2 linked regions of the Xenopus tropicalis genome follow. Each later gene encodes a partner of the first gene's protein in a complex. Links are inferred from orthologs where the notes say so. Each region holds a gene or a part of one and is shown in the gene's direction. Other genes may lie near its edges.

Region 1 (3,805 bases):
TCTGTTCTGTTTCCCTTCAGCGCTGCTCTATTTAGCCTATCAGCATTTCCCATCGAGCCTGGATTTAGACGTGCTGCACGCGCACTGCTGCTGGGAGTACGTGCTACAGTGGAACAAAGACCCAGAGGTAGGGGCCGATAGTCACGTTCCCTTCCTTGTACTCCTGCTGCTTGTTTGGTGCAAACAGGGGGTTACTGTAGGGCTCTGCATTAGAGAAGTGCCATTTCCCTTAGGGACAGTGTAATGAAATCTGAAAATGAATGAAAATGGCTGCCCAACCCCTTGGATGTTGCTCTCAGTGCCCCCAAACCAGGGATTTATTTTTGAATTTTGGTTGAATAAAAACAAGATTTCCTACCAAATAAAGCCCCCTGTAAGCTGATAGGGTGCATAGGGGCTGCCTAATAGCCAATCACAGCTTTTATTTGGCTCCTCCATGAACTTTTATGGTGCTTGTGTAAGAAAGTTTGGGGACCCCTGCCATAAAGGAACCAAATCCAAGATGGCAGCCATGCTTTGCTATGAGAAAGAATGCTGTTAGTATTGGCATTATGCAAGTGTGTATGTCATTCTTACTACTTTCTTATATTCATTCCACAGGAAGTGCAGTTCCTTGCTCGCTCTATCGACCACTTAAAGCGAATCAGCAATGCACACGTGCAGTTTGGTGAGTGCTGTCAGTACAGTCAGTTTATGTGTCGTGCTGCCAGTTGTGTGTGTGTCTCTCTCATATATGTATTGTGGGTATTTGCTTGTCTCTCCAGAAGGGGGCGATATTGCTTATATGCGAGGATGATAATGGCGATATTGCTTATATGCGAGGATGATAATTACTCATCCAAACCTCATTTTCACTGGGAGCCCAGGAGTTCTAGCAGAAGAGATGAATGGGTGCCCATCTGGGCCAGACTGGCAGTCTGTATGTTCTGCCGTATACCAGAGGCACTTCTGTAAGATGCCATAGACAGTCAGTTTATTGGGGCTGTTTGCACCTCTGTGTAGGGAAGGGATGCCCATCATACAGTCGGTTTGCCATTAGTAATTTGCCTTGCACCCTGGCACAGATATGGGTGATTATTCCTTTCCTTCTGTTTTTCCACTCAGGGCTCTCTCTCATGATGTGGAACACGTTCATCATAAAGCGATTTTCTGCCGCTGCGTACCTCATAGATAAGGTGAGCTCCGGCCTTTGGGGGGGCGCTACTGTAATCCCATATGGTGATTAGACAACATCCTTTGGGATTAAAGGTGAAACTAAGCTTTAATCACTGGTGGGTGCCAAATGTTAGGCACCCTGCAGTGACTGTAATCACTTACCTGATACCCTGGGCCAGTAATTATTATCACTGTGGGGGGGGGGGGCGACGACTAACATTTGGCCCCCCTAGGTAATTTAAACTTCCCTTCTCCTTTAATTTAGCTAGGAGTACCTAGAACATATGTAACACCTACGTACTAGGTACTTAAGTAGAGGCATCGGGGATGTCCATCCTGCTCCCCTTTACTGTTGTGCAGTGCAACTGTCACTATTCCTGTGACTGGAGGATGCTGGGAGTTGTATCAGTTGCGTCTCAGGCTGGGCTTCCCTGATGTATATCCTGCACTGACAGTCCCTCTCTGCTTTGTGTTCTGTAGGTTGGGAAAGCTCCCAAGGACAGACTGTGCCGAAGGGTAAGTGTCACACGTAGGATTCCTCCTGTTTTGGAGGAGAGGAGGCAGTCGGATGAATGGCTATGGGGGGCAGTGGGGGTGATGGAGGGCTCCAGATTTACTTGTTATTTAGGGAGAGATTTCTGTGTATGAGTTGCCTGAGCCTTATTCTCTTTTGTTTCCTCTCCCAGGACGTGGGGATGAGCGACACGGCAATGGGCTCTTTCCTGGGGAGCTGCTCCGATCTCCTGCAGGCAATGATGGAGGTAATGGTGACAGATAGGGGTAACCCACCCCCCCATCCCCCCGACTCTGTACATAAACTCATGAGGATATGGGGGGGTGTTATCTTCTTATTGCTTTCTCCCATATGAAGTAGAAGAATGAATCTGTATTTATTGCTATTTCCTTGCCTCTGTTATTGCTCAGGGGGCTACTGACCCTGCTGCTGTTACCATGTTTAATTACCGTGGGTTTAATGCTCACCTCCTTACACCACTAAGCATGCTGGGGCATTAAGCGCTGACATCATGTGACCTTTGCGCTGTTTATTTCCCAAGGCTGACGTTAGCAGTGAGGAGATGCAGGCCCCCCTGCTGGAGCTGGAAGATTCCTGGGTGAATATGGAAGGTCCGAGCTCCATAGTAGAACTGGCTCTGGAACAGAAGCACATACACTACCCGCTGGTGGAGCACCAGTTTGTCCTCTCAGCCATTCTCTACTCAGTCATGAGGTTTTCCCTCAAATCCATCAAGCCTCTTGCGCTGTATGACAGTAAGGTACGTGCCGTGTCCCTTTGTTGCACAAGTTATCTGCACACTCACACTTGCTGTTTCAGGAGCTGGGTTTGAGCCACACAAGGAATATTTGGCCTTTAGTGCTCGGAGCAGTTGGGAGACCCCCTTTGTGGCTGCAGTCCGATCCCTGATTGGCAGTGGTTCCGTTGCATTGCTGCTGTGGGTTCCCGTTGCTGATTGTTGGCCAGACTATGGGTGGCACTGAGATCCCTGGCATTACAGTCTGTACCAGTTAGCCTTCCTCTTACCTCCCTAAAAGCTGAATGGAGAGGTCAGTCTGGCTAATCTAGTTATTGATTCTCACCAACGGTGCTCTGTATGGTCAGGAGTATGTGTATGCAGCCATCATGGCTGACTCATGGCGCCACAGCTTCATCCAGTGACATTCCTGACAATCCCATGCTTCCTGCTACATGGCATCAGTTTAGGGAAGCCCCATAACAGCACAATAATGCCCCCCGGCCAGATCCCTGCAGAATGGGGTTGCTGAGATAGGATTGGGAGAAGCCAGTTGAACCCCCTTGGGATGAATTGGAATTCTGGTTGTGAGCCAAGCCTGATCCCCCAACATCAGAGCCCAAGTAAATCCTCCCCAGAAGCAGAGGGGCTGTTATAGCAGCAAAGGGAGGGGCAACTTCATATGAATCCCCTGGCCAGTCAGGGGTCTGGATACTATTGCTCATGCAGTGTTCATTTATGGGGTAGTTAAGCTTTGCTTTAGATCTACTAAACGTAACATGCTGATTGGCTCCTCTGGGTTATTAGTACTGGCCCAAATTGATATGATTTCCATTTGTCACTGGCCTGCAGCATTCTGTAGCTGGCTCTCAGTCATTGTGGCCCATGTTCCAACCAATCACAGTTTGGCCAAATTGCAAAATGTCAAATGCTCATGTTTGTGAGTTTGTCTTTAAAGAAAAAACTGCATTGTTTGTTTTTTTATATTTAGGGTAAAAACGCATTTTTCAAAGATCTGACCTCCATTCAGCTGCTGCCGAGCGGGGATGCGGACCCGAGTTTAGTGAGCCTACGGCAACAGGTATGTCTGTGCTTTCTCATCTTCAGTCTTGTTCAGCCATAAGCACTTCCACTGGGGGGGTGTCCCAGTCAGGGTATCGCTGCCCAGTTTGGTCCCCTGTGCCTTAGGGCTGGTACAGTTGGTTGGTCTCCATGCCAACCAAGGAGCCATAATGTGGGCCTATACAGACCCACCAACTGGATCATGCTGTTCTCACCCAATGGGATCCTTTAGCTTGCCGATTGATAAGTGGCTGATGTTCGGCCAGTAACAGGGCCCACACACATATATTTGCACCTGAATGAGATGGAACATTAGATCTCTGTGCATTTTAGTAGTA
Region 2 (4,297 bases), on another chromosome or scaffold:
GTTATACTCCCTCCCTATTGTCACTATTCCCAGCACCCCCTGTGCCACACAGTTATACTCCCTCCCTATTGTCACTATTCCCAGCACCCCCTGTGCCCCACAGTTATACTCCCTCCCTATTGTCACTATTCCCAGCACCCCCTGTGCCACACAGTTATCAACTCCCACCCTATTGTCACTATTCCCAGCACCCCCTGTGCCCCACAGTTATCTACTCCCACCCTATTGTCACTATTCCCAGCACCCCCTGTGCCCCACAGTTATACTCCCTCCCTATTGTCACTATTCCCAGCACCCCCTGTGCCCCACAGTTATACTCCCTCCCTATTGTCACTATTCCCAGCACCCCCTGTGCCCCACAGTTATACTCCCTCCCTATTGTCACTATTCCCAGCACCCCCTGTGCCCCACAGTTATACTCCCTCCCTATTGTCACTATTCCCAGCACCCCCTGTGCCCCACAGTTATCTACTCCCACCCTATTGTCACTATTCCCAGCACCCCCTGTGCCCCACAGTTATACTCCCTCCCTATTGTCACTATTCCCAGCACCCCCTGTGCCCCACAGTTATACTCCCTCCCTATTGTCACTATTCCCAGCACCCCCTGTGCCACACAGTTATCAACTCCCACCCTATTGTCACTATTCCCAGCACCCCCTGTGCCCCACAGTTATCTACTCCCACCCTATTGTCACTATTCCCAGCACCCCCTGTGCCCCACAGTTATACTCCCTCCCTATTGTCACTATTCCCAGCACCCCCTGTGCCCCACAGTTATACTCCCTCCCTATTGTCACTATTCCCAGCACCCCCTGTGCCCCACAGTTATACTCCCTCCCTATTGTCACTATTCCCAGCACCCCCTGTGCCCCACAGTTATACTCCCTCCCTATTGTCACTATTCCCAGCACCCCCTGTGCCCCACAGTTATCTACTCCCACCCTATTGTCACTATTCCCAGCACCCCCTGTGCCCCACAGTTATACTCCCTCCCTATTGTCACTATTCCCAGCACCCCCTGTGCCCCACAGTTATACTCCCTCCCTATTGTCACTATTCCCAGCACCCCCTGTGCCCCACAGTTATCTACTCCCACCCTATTGTCACTATTCCCAGCACTCCCTGTGCCACACAGCCCCCCTTGTTGTCCCGCCCTTCGCCCCATGACCCCCAGCACCCCGGAGTGACACCCTGCCTCCCCTGTCCCACCCCAGTTCTGATGATTCCCGGGACCCTGTGCCTCACTCCCCCCCTCACACTCCCCCTCACACTCCCCGCAATGTTTTCCTTTAGTTCCTGTTTCCCAGCATGCACCGTGCTGACGTCTTCCCCGGCCCAAGATGGCGGCTGACAGTGATGTGAGTTTCCAGCTGTGTTGTTATCATTTCTGTTCCCTCGGCCTCCGATTTACTGTCTGTTCTTCTCTCCCTGCAGCCCGAGTCCGAGGTGTTTGAGATCACGGACTTTACTACTGCGTCCGAGTGGGAGAGGTAAGTGGGATGGGGAGAGACAGGGGTTGAGGGGTAGGTACCTGTGGGATGGGGAGAGACAGGGGTTGAGGGGTAGGTACCTGTGGGAGGGGGAGAGACAGGGGTTGAGGGGTAGGTACCTGTGGGAGAGGGAGAGACAGGGGCTGAGGGGTAGGTACCTGTGGGAGGGGGAGAGACAGGGGCTGAGGGGTAGGTACCTGTGGGAGGGGGAGAGACAGGGGCTGAGGGGTAGGTACCTGTGGGAGGGGGAGAGACAGGGGCTGAGGGGTAGGTACCTGTGGGAGGGGGAGAGACAGGGGTTGAGGGGTAGGTACCTGTGGGAGAGGGAGAGACAGGGGCTGAGGGGTAGGTACCTGTGGGAGGGGGAGAGACAGGGGCTGAGGGGTAGGTACCTGTGGGAGGGGGAGAGACAGGGGCTGAGGGGTAGGTACCTGTGGGAGGGGGAGAGACAGGGGCTGAGGGGTAGGTACCTGTGGGAGGGGGAGAGACACGGGCTGAGGGGTAGGTACCTGTGGGAGAGGGAGAGACAGGGGCTGAGGGGTAGGTACCTGTGGGAGAGTGAGAGACAGGGGCTGAGGGGTAGGTACCTGTGGGAGAGGGAGAGACAGGGGCATAGGGGTAGGTACCTGTGGGAGAGGGAGAGACAGGGGTTGAGGGGTAGGTACCTGTGGGAGAGGGAGAGACAGGGGCTGAGGGGTAGGTACCTGTGGGAGAGGGAGAGACAGGGGCTGAGGGGTAGGTACCTGTGGGAGAGGGAGAGACAGGGGTTGAGGGGTAGGTACCTGTGGGAGAGGGAGAGACAGGGGCTGAGGGGTAGGTACCTGTGGGAGAGGGAGAGACAGGGGCTGAGGGGTAGGTACCTGTGGGAGGGGGAGAGACAGGGGCTGAGGGGTAGGTACCTGTGGGAGAGGGAGAGACAGGGGCTGAGGGGTAGGTACCTGTGGGAGTGGGAGAGACAGGGGTTGAGGGGTAGGTACCTGTGGGAGAGGGAGAGACAGGGGCTGAGGGGTAGGTACCTGTGGGAGAGGGAGAGACAGGGGCTGAGGGGTAGGTACCTGTGGGAGGGGGAGAGACAGGGGCTGAGGGGTAGGTACCTGTGGGAGAGGGAGAGACAGGGGCTGAGGGGTAGGTACCTGTGGGAGGGGGAGAGACAGGGGCTGAGGGGTAGGTACCTGTGGGAGGGGGAGAGACAGGGGCTGAGGGGTAGGTACCTGTGGGAGGGGGAGAGACAGGGGCTGAGGGGTAGGTACCTGTGGGAGGGGGAGAGACAGGGGCTGAGGGGTAGGTACCTGTGGGAGGGGGAGAGACAGGGGTTGAGGGGTAGGTACCTGTGGGAGAGGGAGAGACAGGGGTTGGTACCTGTGGGAGAGGGAGAGACAGGGGCTGAGGGATAGGTACCTGTGGGAGAGGGAGAGACAGGGGTTGAGGGTAGGTACCTGTGGGAGTGGGAGAGACAGGGGCATAGGGGTAGGTACCTGTGGGAGAGGGAGAGACAGGGGTTGAGGGGGTAGGTACCTGTGGGAGAGGGAGAGACAGGGGCATAGGGGTAGGTACCTGTGGGAGAGGGAGAGACAGGGGCTGAGGGGTAGGTACCTGTGGGAGGGGGAGAGACAGGGGCTGAGGGGTAGGTACCTGTGGGAAGGGGAGAGACAGGGGCTGAGGGGTAGGTACCTGTGGGAGAGAGAGAGACAGGGGTTGGTACCTGTGGGAGAGGGAGAGACAGGGGCTGAGGGATAGGTACCTGTGGGAAAGGGAGAGACAGGGGTTGAGGGGTAGGTACCTGTGGGAGGGGGAGAGACAGGGGCATAGGGGTAGGTACCTGTGGGAGAGGGAGAGACAGGGGTTGAGGGGTAGGTACCTGTGGGAGTGGGAGAGACAGGGGCATAGGGGTAGGTACCTGTGGGAGGGGGAGAGACAGGGGCTGAGGGTAGGTACCTGTGGGAGGGGGAGAGACAGGGGTTGAGGGGTAGGTACCTGTGGGAGAGGGAGAGACAGGGGTTGGTACCTGTGGGAGAGGGAGAGACAGGGGCTGAGGGATAGGTACCTGTGGGAGAGGGAGAGACAGGGGTTGAGGGGTAGGTACCTGTGGGAGAGGGAGAGACAGGGGCATAGGGGTAGGTACCTGTGGGAGAGGGAGAGACAGGGGTTGAGGGGTAGGTACCTGTGGGAGAGACAGGGGCATAGGGGTAGGTACCTGTGGGAGAGGGAGAGACAGGGGCTGAGGGGTAGGTACCTGTGGGAGGGGGAGAGACAGGGGCTGAGGGGTAGGTACCTGTGGGAAGGGGAGAGACAGGGGCTGAGGGGTAGGTACCTGTGGGAGAGGGAGAGACAGGGGCTGAGGGGTAGGTACCTGTGGGAGGGGGAGAGACAGGGGCTGAGGGGTAGGTACCTGTGGGAGAGGGAGAGACAGGGGTTGAGGGGTAGGTACCTGTGGGAGAGGGAGAGACAGGGGCATAGGGGTAGGTACCTGTGGGAGAGGGAGAGACAGGGGTTGAGGGGTAGGTACCTGTGGGAGTGGGAGAGACAGGGGCATAGGGGTAGGTACCTGTGGGAGAGGGAGAGACAGGGGCTGAGGGGTAGGTACCTGTGGGAGGGGGAGAGACAGGGGCTGAGGGTAGGTACCTGTGGGAAGGGGAGAGACAGGGGCTGAGGGGTAGGTACCTGTGGGAGAGGAAGAGACAGGGGCTGAGGGTAGGTACCTGTGGGAGGGGGAGAGACAGGGGCTGAGGGGTAGGTACCTGTGGGAGAGGGAGAGACAGGGGTTGAGGGGTAGGTACCTGTGGGAGAGGGAGAGACAGGGGCATA

The links.
Region 2: the proteins of rab3gap2 (region 1) and rab3gap1 are in contact, whole or in part, in a cryo-EM structure (PDB 8VYB), measured with the Homo sapiens proteins. The link is inferred for Xenopus tropicalis from reciprocal best matches to the Homo sapiens genes RAB3GAP2 and RAB3GAP1. Residues at the interface, in NP_036546.2 of Homo sapiens: Arg197, His198, Pro199, Gly200, Ser276, Pro277, Phe278, Asp279, Met281, Lys282, Ser285, Asn286, Ile287, Gly289, Phe290, Asn291, Ala292, Ile294, Arg377, Phe378, Gly379, Leu380, Pro381, Asp382, Arg385, Cys395, Thr397, Leu398, Arg407, Arg415; in NP_036365.1 of Homo sapiens: Thr19, Ser21, Trp23, Glu24, Glu142, Ser143, Asn146, Leu147, Leu149, Ser150, Ser153, Ile154, Ile169, His170, Trp173, Arg174, Met176, Arg187, Asp189, Glu191, Met192, Val193, His194, Leu195, Arg196, Pro199, Tyr202, Ile211, Ser214, Lys215.

Annotation. Positions count from the first base shown.
Region 1 is NC_030681.2:10,595,187-10,598,991, forward strand, and holds part of rab3gap2 (rab3 GTPase-activating protein non-catalytic subunit), read left to right. Parts: intron 1-20; coding exon 21-127; intron 128-600; coding exon 601-667; intron 668-1,104; coding exon 1,105-1,175; intron 1,176-1,635; coding exon 1,636-1,671; intron 1,672-1,841; coding exon 1,842-1,916; intron 1,917-2,210; coding exon 2,211-2,429; intron 2,430-3,396; coding exon 3,397-3,486; intron 3,487-3,805. UniProt on the Homo sapiens protein: Regulatory subunit of the Rab3 GTPase-activating (Rab3GAP) complex composed of RAB3GAP1 and RAB3GAP2, which has GTPase-activating protein (GAP) activity towards various Rab3 subfamily members (RAB3A, RAB3B, RAB3C and RAB3D), RAB5A and RAB43, and guanine nucleotide exchange factor (GEF) activity towards RAB18.
Region 2 is NC_030685.2:84,384,081-84,388,377, reverse strand, and holds the start of rab3gap1 (rab3 GTPase-activating protein catalytic subunit), read left to right. Parts: upstream 1-1,267; 5' UTR 1,268-1,342; coding exon 1,343-1,360; intron 1,361-1,436; coding exon 1,437-1,492; intron 1,493-4,297. UniProt on the Homo sapiens protein: Catalytic subunit of the Rab3 GTPase-activating (Rab3GAP) complex composed of RAB3GAP1 and RAB3GAP2, which has GTPase-activating protein (GAP) activity towards various Rab3 subfamily members (RAB3A, RAB3B, RAB3C and RAB3D), RAB5A and RAB43, and guanine nucleotide exchange factor (GEF) activity towards RAB18.